Linked DNA regions of Saccharomyces cerevisiae S288C. The gene in region 2 interacts genetically with the main gene of each other region. Each region holds a gene or a part of one and is shown on either strand. Other genes may lie near its edges.

What was found. Genes that interact genetically often act in the same process or in processes that back each other up.
Region 1: mutations in SPE2 (region 2) and PAU17 together harm fitness more than expected from each alone (negative genetic interaction), as found in Saccharomyces cerevisiae (2 studies listed by BioGRID).
Region 3: mutations in SPE2 (region 2) and HOL1 together harm fitness more than expected from each alone (negative genetic interaction), as found in Saccharomyces cerevisiae (3 studies listed by BioGRID, with this or other methods).

The regions. Positions count from the first base shown.
Region 1 is NC_001144.5:92,061-95,621, forward strand, and holds PAU17 (seripauperin PAU17), read left to right. Parts: upstream 1-2,686; coding exon 2,687-3,061; downstream 3,062-3,561. Other genes in the region: Hsp70 family chaperone SSA2, read right to left, coding at 3,506-3,561.
Region 2 is NC_001147.6:229,642-235,212, reverse strand, and holds SPE2 (adenosylmethionine decarboxylase SPE2), read left to right. Parts: upstream 1-1,576; coding exon 1,577-2,767; downstream 2,768-5,571. Other genes in the region: GAL11 (Gal11p), read right to left, coding at 1-273; DDR2 (Ddr2p), read left to right, coding at 3,458-3,643; AIM39 (Aim39p), read right to left, coding at 3,941-5,128; ubiquitin-protein ligase PSH1, read right to left, coding at 5,379-5,571.
Region 3 is NC_001146.8:727,926-732,844, reverse strand, and holds HOL1 (Hol1p), read left to right. Parts: upstream 1-2,658; coding exon 2,659-4,419; downstream 4,420-4,919. Other genes in the region: BIO5 (Bio5p), read left to right, coding at 1-1,227. UniProt on the Saccharomyces cerevisiae protein: Seems to be involved in the uptake of several cations and of histidinol.

The DNA.
Region 1 (3,561 bases), on a different chromosome or scaffold from region 2:
TGAATTTTGAGGTAATTGTTGGGATTCCATTGTTAATAAGGGCTATAATATTAGGTATACAGAATATACTAGATGTTCTCCTCGAGGATCTACGAATCCTCATAATGGAATCAATATTTCTATATACTAATATTACGATTATCCCTCATTCCGTTTTATATGTTTCATTATCTTATTACATTATCAATCCTTTCACTACAGCTTCCTCTAACCTCGATGACAGCTTCTCATAACCTATGTCATCATCTAACACCGTATATGATAATATAGTGATAGTTATAACTATTAGTTGATAGACGATAGTGGATTTTTATTCCAACAGATATAAGAATTACAAAAAGAGAACTGTTATTTCTACATAATAATATTACGATTAGTACTCCTTTTATATGTTTCTTTATCCATTTACATTATCAATCCTGATTAAAATTCCCACGAACCCCCAGTACTAGATTGTTCATAATGGATCAAGTTCACAAGTTAATAAGGGCGTGTGGTCTAGTGGTATGATTCTCGCTTTGGGCGACTTCCTGACTAAACAGGAAGACAAAGCATGCGAGAGGCCCTGGGTTCAATTCCCAGCTCGCCCCTTTATTTTCTTTTTTTGGACCCAAAGCACTAGCTTAGGCTGTCCATCTTTGTTCTTGATTCTAAAGATCACAGTAGAATAATGGTTTATTTCTTAGAGTTCTACAAGTTTTAGCGTACTACTGAACAATGAATGTCCTGATTTTTTAAAACTCGCGCATATTTGGAGGCCATATCGTGCCACCAACTTTACTACAGTCAAACACCTGTGCCCAATTCTACCACTTATTAAACAATTACTTAGTAAGATCAGCAAGCGGTTCATCTGTCCCCCATTCATATATGGCTTTCACCCTCTTTACCTGTTTGAAACAGAAAAAAAATTACAACTAATGGTATGCAATTCATAAAGCATAGGCCAAAAGACCCTGATACAGATATATGCTAAAACAATAATTATAAAGGATTATGCCGTAGGAAGGCTGAGAATCCTCAGTTTGTGCACTTTGAAATTCAAAATACAAAAAACTGTTGACAAATTAGTATCATAACTATCTATCGCATATATTCACGTCACATACCGCCTCTGTGGCAATTGACAACACTTATCCCTATCAAAGACAATACAAAGTATTTGTTACCGAGTGAGATTATTTAGTACAATATGTGGGTAATAAAAACTAATCGGAGATATTTTTTTACGTTTTTTGATGCAAACGCAATAAATTCTTGATTTTTGAAATTTTGCAGGACATCAAGATACGTTTCTTTTAAGCAGTTTGGATTGCTTCTTTCGTTCCGAAAGTAAAACGTAATGAAAACCCCTATAGTATTGTGACGCGTTTTCCAACTCTGCCCTTAGCTTGATTTGACGGCTTAGAACAAAGGAACAGTAGCACGAACACTTCAAGTGCAAATGACAGTTTAATTGTGGGTAAAAAAGGTAGCCTCAAAGTTGCATTTTTTATGGACTGTAAAGAACATACGATTGTTATACACTTTTGAACAACCAAGATGTACTACCTCAATTGTAGTGAATTAATGTCGAAATTTGTTAGATGCCCCGAATAAATAGTAACTTTATTTAGGGAAAGCACTCGAATTTTTGTTATTACGGTCACGCCATATTTTAGCATGTACTTAGTAAAAGACCCATTTCGCCATCACTATTTTTACCATTTTTTTCTATACGATTTGGGAGCAAATACCTGAACTGCACACTAATGGACATAATCACTTGGTTGAAAAAGTACTATAGTAGACTATACGTCGTACGCTGCAATCTATTTTAAGCACAGAAAGCATCCTTCGTATGATAATATAACCTTTTTGGTAACAGAGTTACCATTGAAGCGACATTGCAGTGAAACTTGTTTCAAGATGTAGTTGGGAGGAATTATGTGTTGAGTTCGTCCACTTTATGAGCTCGAAGATAACGAGAAAATTGCTAAGATGCCGGTGTTGGCTTCTTGCATATGAAGAGGCACCAATAAAACGATGCATTAATTCTTTATTACGGAAGTTCCGAAGCAGCGAAGAATGAAAAAGAATACAAGCGCTCATAATTGTCCTCGGTGGACATCATATACAGCATAAAAGTGTCTTTTTTAAGTTCTCTCCCCTAAAGATCACAAACTTCACGTAATTAGTAACGTGTAGACTACTAACCTTGAAAAAACGAACCCCTTTTCTGCCTAGCAACCGTTTAAGATATACCAAAAAAGGCAACTGTGATGACTTCTGAACGAGGGTCCACGCCAAGTCACGCCAAGTTTGTTTTCGGATCTTCTGCTAGCAGAAACTCAACACACCTACATGAAAGGTAAAGGGTTTCTTAGAAACATTCACTGTACCGTGCATTGTTCAAACCTGCGCGATTGCTTGGCAACGGCGAGAATTACATTACAAGAAGGTGTGCTTTCATAAACGAGAAGTAATAAACTTGTGTCGTTCAGAAACAATAGTATCTCATATTGGCTACAATGGAGAAACTTACGATGTGTATTCAGTATATTGGTTAGAAAACTGTAGTTTGTTAGTTGAAAAATTAATATAAATAGGGTGTTTTTAATCAGCTGTAATAGAAGTACATCCTCATCCTTCTTCTTCACTAAGCTCACATCATCACTAAAGCAACAACCAAAAAACAACAAATACAATGGTCAAATTAACTTCAATTGCTGCTGGTGTCGCCGCTATTGCCGCTGGTGTCGCCGCTGCACCAGCTACCACCACTTTATCTCCATCTGACGAAAGAGTTAACCTGGTTGAATTAGGTGTCTACGTCTCTGATATCAGAGCTCATTTGGCTGAATACTATATGTTCCAAGCCGCTCATCCAACTGAAACTTACCCAGTTGAAATTGCTGAAGCTGTTTTCAACTACGGTGATTTCACCACTATGTTGACCGGTATCCCCGCTGACCAAGTCACTAGAGTCATCACTGGTGTCCCATGGTACTCTACCAGATTGAGACCAGCCATCTCCAGCGCTCTATCTGCAGACGGTATCTACACTGCTGTACCAAACTAGGATTTGACGCCCTTACGAATAGAACTTTACGAGTATTAGAATGTTATGAATAAATGAAATTGGTTTCGACGGTATAGATGAATAAAGGTATTTTGAAAATTATAAAAAAAAGTTTTAATAATATAGATTTGGTAAAATAAATAGGCGTATATACACATTGTATACTGTTGATATTATCAAGTTTTTATTATTAAAGAGCTCTTTTTATTTTTTATTTATAGGGGAAAATGACCGATATTCCTAGTCTTCAAGTCACTATTATTTTTTTTTTTATTCATAAGTACAATTGAATAATATTATTGATTTTTTTATTATTGTTCTTATTCTTTTTTTATCATTTCTATATAAAATATTATATGATTTAGTTTATCGTAAAAAAATTAAAAAATACAGAGGAAAGCAAAAGTAAAACTTTTCGGATATTTTACAGGGCGATCGCTAAGCTTAATCAACTTCTTCGACAGTTGGACCTTCAGCTTCTGGAGCTGGAGGAGCACCAC
Region 2 (5,571 bases):
AGCAGCAGTAACGGCGTTTTTCCTCGTATTGTACGTGTTGCGCATGACAGCAACTTTTTCGTTCATGCTGTCCATGTATTCTTTCTTTGAAGAGCTCTTTGCGAACAAAGCTGCCTCGAAGTTTTTGGCATGAATTCTTATCTTATCAGCAGTGTCGGAGCTCCCTCCGTTCAGAGTGTTAATGTCCATGAGCACCTGAAGCAACCCGTTGACGTTCTTCGCACGCTCGGCATTGGACAGAGTGTCTTTGTCTTGGACAGGAGCAGCAGACATAGCAGATTTAAAAGAAATAGCGTTTTAATCCTTGATCTTTGAGTACGGCACTATACGAAACGATACGCTTATAAAAATGGGGTTTAACTAACAAAGAAAAATATACCAGCACAAGTATATAGCAATGTCGTGGAAGTACTTCTTTGTGGAACCAGCTGTTTCCAGAGACAAATTCCTAGTCCTTGTGAATGGTTGACTATTAAAAGTTTGACTGTAAAGGTTAAGCACCTTCATCATCCTCATCCATAATATAATTTTCTGATCGACGCAACCGGGGCCGGGGTGGAAGGAAGGCCCGATTCGAAATAAAAAAGAGGCCGCCACAATGTAGGGTAATGCCTAATTATATTAACTAGAGACTGACTGAATCATATTACTTAGTTACTACTACTCTTATCATGCAAGAAGATGTGAAAAAGCGTCTTCCCCCAAATCATATAACTTCTGCACCATCCGTGGACTGTACAGGTTCAGCGGGGGAATATGTAATTGCTTGTTAGGATTGCTCTTGGGACCGTAGTATCGCGACAAGGAAGTCTGTGTAGTTCCACTTGATGTGGGCTGCCTCGCCGCTTCTTTTGCAGTCCCTAACCTTATATAGATGCGCACGCGCCAAAGCATGAGGGTACTCCATCATGTCTGTTGCACAAATATCGTAGGTTACTTGACGCTAACGTCATGTTTGATGCTCCGTTAACGAAGAGAATCGGAGCTCTTCATCTTAATCAGGCTCTTTTATAGCTCAATCATCAGTGGAAAAAATTCTTCGAACTAGAAAAAAATCAAGAAGTGAAAAAACTAAAACCGCCAACTGGCTACCCGGATAAGCCCCATAATGGCGTTCCTAGGGCTAGAAGAATTTCAAATCGATGACAGCTGATAGAAAGCGCCAGAGATATGTAGCCTTCCATCAGTAGTAATATCCAATAAATTGGGCACCATGGTTTGGCAATCAGGCTTTTTACCCTCGCCCTCTTTTCCTTCGCCTTTTACCTCTTCTGCATCCAATTTCAGCGTACGTACACAATGATTGACTTTGGAAATTTTCACTTTTTTCCACTCGAAGAAAAAAAATTCCAAACACGGTTCTCCGGTATTTAGGCATCGAATAAACTTTGCTAATCGACTAAAAGCATCTCTGCATATCTATACGTGTATATATTGTATTCGCTACAGCTCGCTCCTTGCATCAACTCTTTTTTTCTTTTTTTTCTTCCAGGTTAATCAATTACTGTACTGTAGCTTCTTTTTTATATTTTTTAGGTTTTCATATAGTGTCTTACGCAAATAGGCGGACCATAGAATGACTGTCACCATAAAAGAATTGACTAACCACAACTACATTGACCACGAACTATCAGCCACTTTAGACTCAACGGATGCGTTCGAGGGTCCCGAGAAGTTGCTGGAAATCTGGTTCTTCCCTCACAAGAAGTCCATCACGACCGAAAAGACATTAAGAAATATTGGCATGGATAGATGGATCGAGATTTTGAAATTAGTGAAATGCGAAGTTCTTTCCATGAAGAAGACTAAAGAACTGGATGCCTTTTTGTTGAGTGAGTCTTCCCTCTTCGTCTTCGATCACAAATTGACGATGAAGACGTGCGGTACTACAACCACATTGTTCTGTCTCGAAAAGCTTTTCCAGATCGTTGAGCAAGAGTTATCGTGGGCTTTCCGCACAACACAAGGGGGCAAGTACAAACCATTTAAAGTGTTTTATTCTAGACGATGTTTCCTTTTCCCCTGTAAGCAAGCCGCTATCCATCAAAACTGGGCTGACGAAGTCGACTATTTGAACAAATTTTTCGACAATGGTAAAAGTTATTCCGTGGGAAGAAATGACAAGAGCAACCACTGGAACCTGTACGTCACCGAGACGGACCGCTCCACACCTAAGGGAAAGGAGTACATCGAGGATGACGACGAAACTTTCGAAGTACTGATGACGGAGCTGGACCCAGAATGCGCTAGTAAGTTTGTTTGCGGGCCTGAGGCATCCACAACCGCTCTCGTGGAGCCAAACGAAGATAAGGGCCACAACCTCGGCTACCAAATGACTAAAAATACAAGGCTTGACGAAATATATGTCAACTCGGCCCAAGACTCCGATTTATCATTTCACCACGATGCATTTGCGTTCACGCCATGTGGATACTCATCCAATATGATTCTCGCTGAAAAATACTATTACACCCTGCACGTGACTCCGGAAAAGGGTTGGTCTTACGCCTCTTTCGAAAGTAACATACCCGTATTTGACATTTCCCAAGGGAAGCAAGACAACTTGGACGTTCTTCTACATATTCTGAACGTTTTTCAACCAAGAGAGTTCTCGATGACCTTTTTTACCAAAAATTATCAGAACCAATCCTTCCAAAAACTACTAAGCATCAACGAGTCACTGCCCGACTACATCAAGTTAGACAAAATTGTTTATGATCTGGACGACTACCACCTTTTCTATATGAAATTGCAGAAGAAAATATGAAAAGCCGCCATTTGTGTCTCCTCATACTTACATAGAATAGCCCTCTTCTATTATCCTTCGCTTGCTTTCTAGCACTCATAACTAATGTAGTTTAACCCGCTTGTATATCTTCTACATCATTACCCCGCATGCTTTTTTTTTTCCTCTAGAGAAAACCGGCACAGATTGGCCGGACCCGGAACAGGAAAAATGGCCACTGAAAATTCCTGGCCAGACCACCCCTGAGCTAAGGGAGTTTAGCCGCTCAAGCTTTTATTTCCTCTGATGTAATATATCACACACCCAGACACGGTTGCCAAGGCCTCGACGGAAGGCCGCTTCAAGGGACGGGGCAGTGGCTATCAGAAATACCTTAATATCATCAATATTTTTCATCAATCGCAAGGTGTCAAACATCAATAAAGGATGATGCTCAAAGGTTTATGCCCGATGTTCTTCTAATCCCCTTTCTCTCCTAAAATAATCCTTTTTTTACTCTTCTTCTTTTCCCCTGTTTCCATTTTTGTCTTTTCTCACCCCTTATGGGACATCAATAATGCAAGTATGTTTATACATTTTTATATAAATGTATATATAAATGCCATTTCTTACACATAACCTCCATTCTTTGGTTAATTCTTTCTTCATTCTTTTTTTTTTCATTCTGAAAAGCCCTCCAAGCAAGCACGCTAATTTAATATCGATTTAAACATGAAAGTATCACAAGTTTTCATTTCTGCCATCTCTGTCTTCGGCCTCGCTACTAGCGTAAATGCTCAAAACGCATCCAACACCACGAGTAACGCTGCTCCTGCTTTGCACGCTCAAAATGGTCAACTACTAAACGCCGGAGTCGTCGGTGCTGCTGTTGGTGGTGCTTTGGCCTTTTTGATTTAGGAAAAACGCCGCTTACTGCCACGATGATGATACCCTATTGACGTTTCTGAAATGTATAATTTCTTTTCTCATCTTCCCCTTTGATATTCCATCTATAGGCCCCAGAGTAGTAAATTTGGTGCTTTAATTTTTTTTCTCTTCTTCCAGTTCGTCTCTATTTTTTCATTCCATTATATTTATTTATCAGTTTTACTTTCTCAAATATTCTTATATAACACTATTTCATCTACGTAACCGAAAATAAGTAGTTTAATAACGATAATAATCATAATTGTGATAAAAATATTTACATTTTTCTTACTTGTCGCCCGCTTCGTTTTTGTATAGAACGTACTGTATTAGTTGTCCGTTCTTTTCACGTCTGAAGAGGTCGATTTCTTGCAATTTAACATCAACGTGGTATTTTCCATTATATACAATCAAAGAATCATCGTCCAGTTCGATTTCGCCATGAAACCAAAGGTGTAATGCATGTGAGTCCCCCTGCAGTGGGTATTCGTACTTGAACGACCCGTATACCCTCTCCGGCGATATAATCTCAAATAAATCGGCTGTTTCCAAACCAATGCGGTTCAGTAAATCGTCGATGGTTCCCCGTATACTTATTGGCCGATGCGTTATCCTCCATTTGCAAACAAAGGGTATTCTATACCAAGTGTGCGAACTATCCCTTTTATCGTCTGGCTCCATTACAATACCAGTTACACATGGATCTTGATCTTCGCACCACATGCTGAATTCATTTAACGTGGGTGAATTGCCATCTTTATCAAGCAATGGTACTCCGTATTGTTCCTTGATCATGTCATGACCGGATAATATCTCTAAAACCCTTAATTTAGAAAGCTTCTGTACTTGGTTTACGTCAACCTTTTTCAAATCTCTGGTACTCAGTTTACGTATCTTGGATGATGGAAACAATGGTAAGAAACTTTGTTCCTTTAAATATATCACTCTATAGATTAGTGAGTATCCTAATATCACACCGAATATACCACCAAATATGGCGGACCATATTTGCTTTCGGCGCTTGTTTCGCTGATGTGTTATTGCTTGACCAATGCTTCTCAAGTCCTCTCCTTTTATGTTAGGACTGTGTCCCTCTTCAATTTCCCCCAACTTCGTCTGTTGCTGTTGATGTGGCGTCGTAAAAAAATGCTTGCCATCATGGACATGCCTTTTCGACTCTGTCAATGAATTTCTTTTAGTTGTAATGCTTTTATTCAAGGTATTCAACCTTACATGACAATAGGTAGGCGCCTGGGTAAATAAGCATATACTTCTCGCGGACAGTAGAGATGTGTTAGCATTACGTAGAATCGCAAACCGTATCATTACCCCTTTTTCCTTCTTCTTGCAATTGAATACAGGAAACAGTTGCTTTGTCTTATGTTCGCTGCCACTCTTCTTTGGTTTTAATGCTTTGTTTCTCTCCTGCACTTGAATTTTATTGCTCGGAAAATGCTTCTTGCATAACCCCCACATAATTGGGCTGATTAACGTGACGCTAAAAAAATACCAATAGCAGTCCCAAAAAAAAAAAAAAAAAGATTCACATATGTATTGATTTTACTTTACGAAATTCTTGACCTATTTATATCATAAACGAGTGCTTATATTTCCGATCCTACTATCGCTTAAAAATCTTAATGTAATAAGGATAGAAAGGAAATTTTTTAAAAACATACATAAAAGTTCCGTACATATGCCGTTCCCGCTAGTTAAAATGTTCAGATTATTCATCGTCACTGTCTCCTAGAACTACACGGAAGCGTTTCTGCCTTTTCGGTTGTGGGTCATCTAATTCTTCCGTGTTATCGTCATTGTTATCCTTGACATCGCTGGAGCCGGAATACGAAAGTGAACGATCTTCGGAATCAGAACTCGATTGTATCCGTGTAACCTCCTTCTGATCCTCATCAAGGCTA
Region 3 (4,919 bases), on a different chromosome or scaffold from region 2:
GTTTCTTCTAAATTTCAAAAGGTTTCTTCCATGGTTGTAGGGTTGCTGAACTATTTCGGTGCCATTTTTACTACCGCAAGTATCTGCTCATCTTTGTCAATGAGCTGTATCGGTATTCATAAGTTGTTGCATCCGGACTACGAGTTAAAGCACTGGCATGTTTTTGTGGGTTACGAGTGTATCAATGCCGTTTTGACACTTTTCAACATTTATTCAACTCCGTTGCCCTATATCTCTCAGTTTGGGCTCTATACGTCTCTATTGTCTTTCGCCATGACTTTCATTATTTGTATTGTTTCAAGATCTGACAACACCGTAGACCCATGGCCCAAAGCTTCTAATATATTTGGGAGCTTTGATAATCAAACAGGCTGGAATTCGTCTGGAATGGCGTTTGTTGTCGGTTTGGTCAATCCGATCTGGGCATTTGTTGGCATTGACTCTGCTACGCACATGATTGATGAAGTGGGTTATAGTAAGTCACGTTTCTTAGTTCCCAAAGTTATTATCACTACCATCATTGTGGGCTTTGTAACTAGTTTTATTTATTGCGTTGGTTTGTTTTTCTGCATCACTGACCAAACGGCAGTCGTTGAGTCTATTTTACCTATCGTAGAAATATTTTACCAGGCCACTGGTAATAGGAATCTCAGTGTCTTCCTGCAATGTATGTGTATCACAACAGGTTTTGTTTCAGGCATTGCAAGTGGAACCTGGCAAAGTCGAATCCTCCAATCATTCGGGAAAAGTTACGCACCATTTTATAAAGAGGGTTCCTTGGGAAACAAATCCTTGAAGAAGCTAGCAGTGTTGACACCTGGGTTTAAGTCTCCATTATATGCCCATTTTTTGTCACAAATATGTGTAACGATAATTGGCTGTATATTTATGGGATCTAGTACCGCTTTCAACGCAATTATCACTGCATGCATCACCCTGTTACTAATGTCGTACGCAGTTCCTTCTTTTATATTCCTGTTCGTTATTAAAAAGGAAAAATTCATTCATAGAATCGAGAGTGACGTAAATTGTGTCAGCAGGCCTAACCGTCGTCGTATGTCTATGATTCCTCATATTATATGTATTCTATGGACCTTGTTCTGCCTGGTATTTTTATCTTTCCCATATACACTACCGGTTACTGCAGGAAACATGAATTACACCTCAGTAGTGTATGCAGTAGTTTTCTGCATTATCAGCATCGTTGTTTTCCCTACATGCATCTAAGATGCTGTTGAAAGAAAAACAGTCCTTATAAATTCCTAGGTCGATACTACCTTTTGTAGCTCTATCGTCAGAACTTCTGCCCTCCTGTATCATAGTTTCATAAAATAATTGTATATTTATTACCAGAAGTACCCTTGTATTACAAAACTAATCGCACACCACAAAGAGTAAAAGTAGGTACCATAGCAGCAGCGCTTAACCTATTCTCCGTCAGTATGAATGAAATATGTGGATTTCGATTACGATTCATTATAAGATCAGAACACATAAAGCCATTTTACTGAGCTATCTCAACTGCACAAACCATAACAAGTAAAAACTAGCTAGTGTAATTAGGAGATTATCGAAAGTCCTGGTCAAGCAGCAAGTTGGGCGAAAGTGTATTTTTGGTCCTTAAATAGTCCCGATTATGGGAAAATTACAAGTCATGACAAAATTTATTTTATAGGTGCACAAAATAGTCTGTAGATATTTTAATATCAAAAGAAAAAAGACGTATTCGCATGATAGTATATACCAAAGAAGAACGATTCAGAGAATGAATGTGGACAAGTTTTTTTGAGGAAAATGAAAACTAGAAAATCAAGGATATTGAGTACTTAGTCATTTTTTTCATTTTTTTCTTCGAGAAAATTTCTTTTTCATTACTTACTTATTTTTGCCAAGACATTTTTTTATCTTTTAAAATATATTCAAATAGTTCTTCTCTGAACAGAATTTTTCTCTCTTATGATGTACAATTACTTTCTTAAGTCACATATAATACCACACAATGCAAAAATTTCATGCATCAGCTCTCTAAGCTTTGAGAAATGTGTAGTTTGACGTTTACATCAAGGCCTGGTTGTGTCATATGAAATTCTACGGATATTTTTAGGGAGCTTTCGCCTAGCGAGAACAAAAGCATAACAAAAAAAGTTGCAGTTGATGAAAATTTTCTTTTTAGGATAAAGTTATTTTCCAGACAGAAAATTAAACTAAAGACCTCGCCGTTAACAAACCATAGTAGTTTAGACTATTTCCTAACCTTTCTATAGATTCATTTAATTGTCTATTGTCTTCAATCTAAACGATAAAGATAAATACGCAGTCGAATAAGAAAGAATTATCTGTATCAGTCTCTGAGGTAATATTTACTGAACCTCCTCTGCAAAAATAAAACAAGCCCATTTTGTTGTCGAAAGCGCTAGCATCCTTAATTTTACGATACTATTTCATGCTATTACTACCAAGTTGACATCCCTTATTATCTTATTTATTTGAAACTAGAAGAATAGCAAGTAAACACTAAATCCGAAAGAATCGAAGTATCATATTACAATCTACAGGATATAACAAAACAGCTTCGCAACTTTTGCATTTCTAACGAATATAAAGAAAAGAACTACTATAGAAGAAAGTTTGCGAGTGTGAATCTTAAATTTTTAACAGATGGACAAATATACCAACAGGGATCATCCGGACTATATTCCTGGCACATTTAACATCTATTCTTCCCAAAATTTGGAAAATGGTATTATATACGAATCAAAATTGAAGAAAACCTCCTCAGGAGTCGTCCTAATCCCTCAACCATCATACTCGCCAAATGATCCACTGAACTGGTCTAGCTGGAGGAAATTGGCTCATTTTGGTCTAATGGCCTTTATAACTGCGTTTACCGCCGCTACTAGTAACGACGCTGGTGCTGCTCAAGACTCATTGAATGAGATTTATGGGATATCCTACGATTCCATGAACACAGGGGCTGGTGTTCTTTTCCTAGGTATTGGTTGGTCCACTTTATTCTTGGCTCCATTTGCTAACTTGTATGGCAGGAAGATTACGTACATAGTTTGCACCACATTAGGTCTCTTTGGTGCGCTTTGGTTTGCTTTGGCCAAAAGAACGAGCGACACAATATGGTCTCAGTTGTTTGTAGGTATTAGTGAGTCCTGTGCTGAAGCCCAGGTGCAACTGTCCCTGAGCGACATTTTTTTCCAGCACCAATTGGGCTCCGTATTGACCGTGTATATCATGTGCACTAGTATCGGTACGTTCTTGGGCCCATTGATCGCTGGGTACATATCTGCATTTACCAACTTCCGTTGGGTCGGTTGGGTCGCAGTGATCATATCTGGTGGCCTTTTAATAACTATTATATTTGGCTGCGAAGAAACGTACTTCGACAGAGGCCAGTATATGACCCCTTTGACCAGCTGTCAATCGGGATACGAAGACGGTACCACTTTACAAAACTCTGACAATACGGCCGTGTCGCGCAGGAAACGTCATCTTGACGCTAAATTATCAACTCCTGGAGCCATGGGTGAGAAAGGTGTAGACCTTTCAGAGACGGCTGAATTCGAAGTTAACAATGAAGAGGAAGTTACCATACCTGAGACTCGCGAATTGATTGATGGTTCAAAAGAGCATTTGAAACCATACCCAAAAAGAGTAGCAATATTAACCAAAGCTACTAATTTGAAAGGCTACGGTTTTAAACAGTATTTCAAATATCTAAAGATCAACCTTAGAATGTTCTTATTCCCGCCAGTGTGGTTGTCTGGTATGTTTTGGGGTATTCAAGACGTTTTCCTGACGTTTTATTTGACCACTCAAGAAAGCGCCTACTACGAACCTCCATGGAACTATAGTGATTTTGGTGTCGCAATTATGAATGTTCCCACACTTATTGGAGCAGTCATCGGTTGTATCTGTGCTGGCATTGTTAGTGACTACTTTGTTCTTTGGATGGCTCGTCACAATAGAGGAATTTTAGAGGCAGAATTTAGACTATACTTCTCTATCGCAACTGCAATTATTGGGCCAGCGGGTTTGCTGATGTTTGGTATCGGTACCGCTAGACAATGGCCTTGGCAAGCTATATACGTCGGGTTGGGTTTTGTTGGGTTTGCATGGGGTTGTTCTGGTGATATTGCGATGGCGTATTTAATGGATTGTTACCCCGATATGGTTTTGGAAGGTATGGTTTGTACTGCTATTATTAACAACACGATATCTTGCATTTTCACCTTTACCTGTTCTGATTGGCTAGCTGCATCTGGTACTGAAAATACTTACATTGCTTTAGCTGTCATCAACTTTGGGATTACTGCATTTGCTTTACCAATGTACTACTATGGTAAGAGGATAAGACTTTGGACTAAGAGATGGTATTTGCAATCTGTCAATTTGAGAGACGGTGTGTAATTCAGAGACGTCTTTCTTGTATCTAGTAGATGATAGGAATTAAGTATTTTTTTTTTACCTAACTAGGATTATAATTGCAACAACAAAAGCGCCCTTCGTGAAACACGTGGGATACCGGTTAGGTAATATTACAGTTTCCTTACACACTTACTAAATACGCAACAGAGCATGTTATTAATCGTATATTTAAGTAATAATAACGTATTGACCATTCCTAAGACTGAAGCAGTACCAAGAAATGGCACTTTTTGTTTATATGACATAGTAAAAGTGTTCATTTGGCAGAAAACAAGGGTATCTGGATACTGCAATCCTCATTAGTTGCGGAGAGCTTTTTTAAAGTTTTATTACTTCGATAATGCTTTCCTCCAGAACTGGGCGCGCACTGAAGCCATAAACTGAGTGGTTGTCCCTGTGTATATTCTACAATCGCCTATTTGAAACTTCTGGGTGATAATATCGATTTAGCGATTGGGTTTCTCCCTTCTGAGATTCTGGAT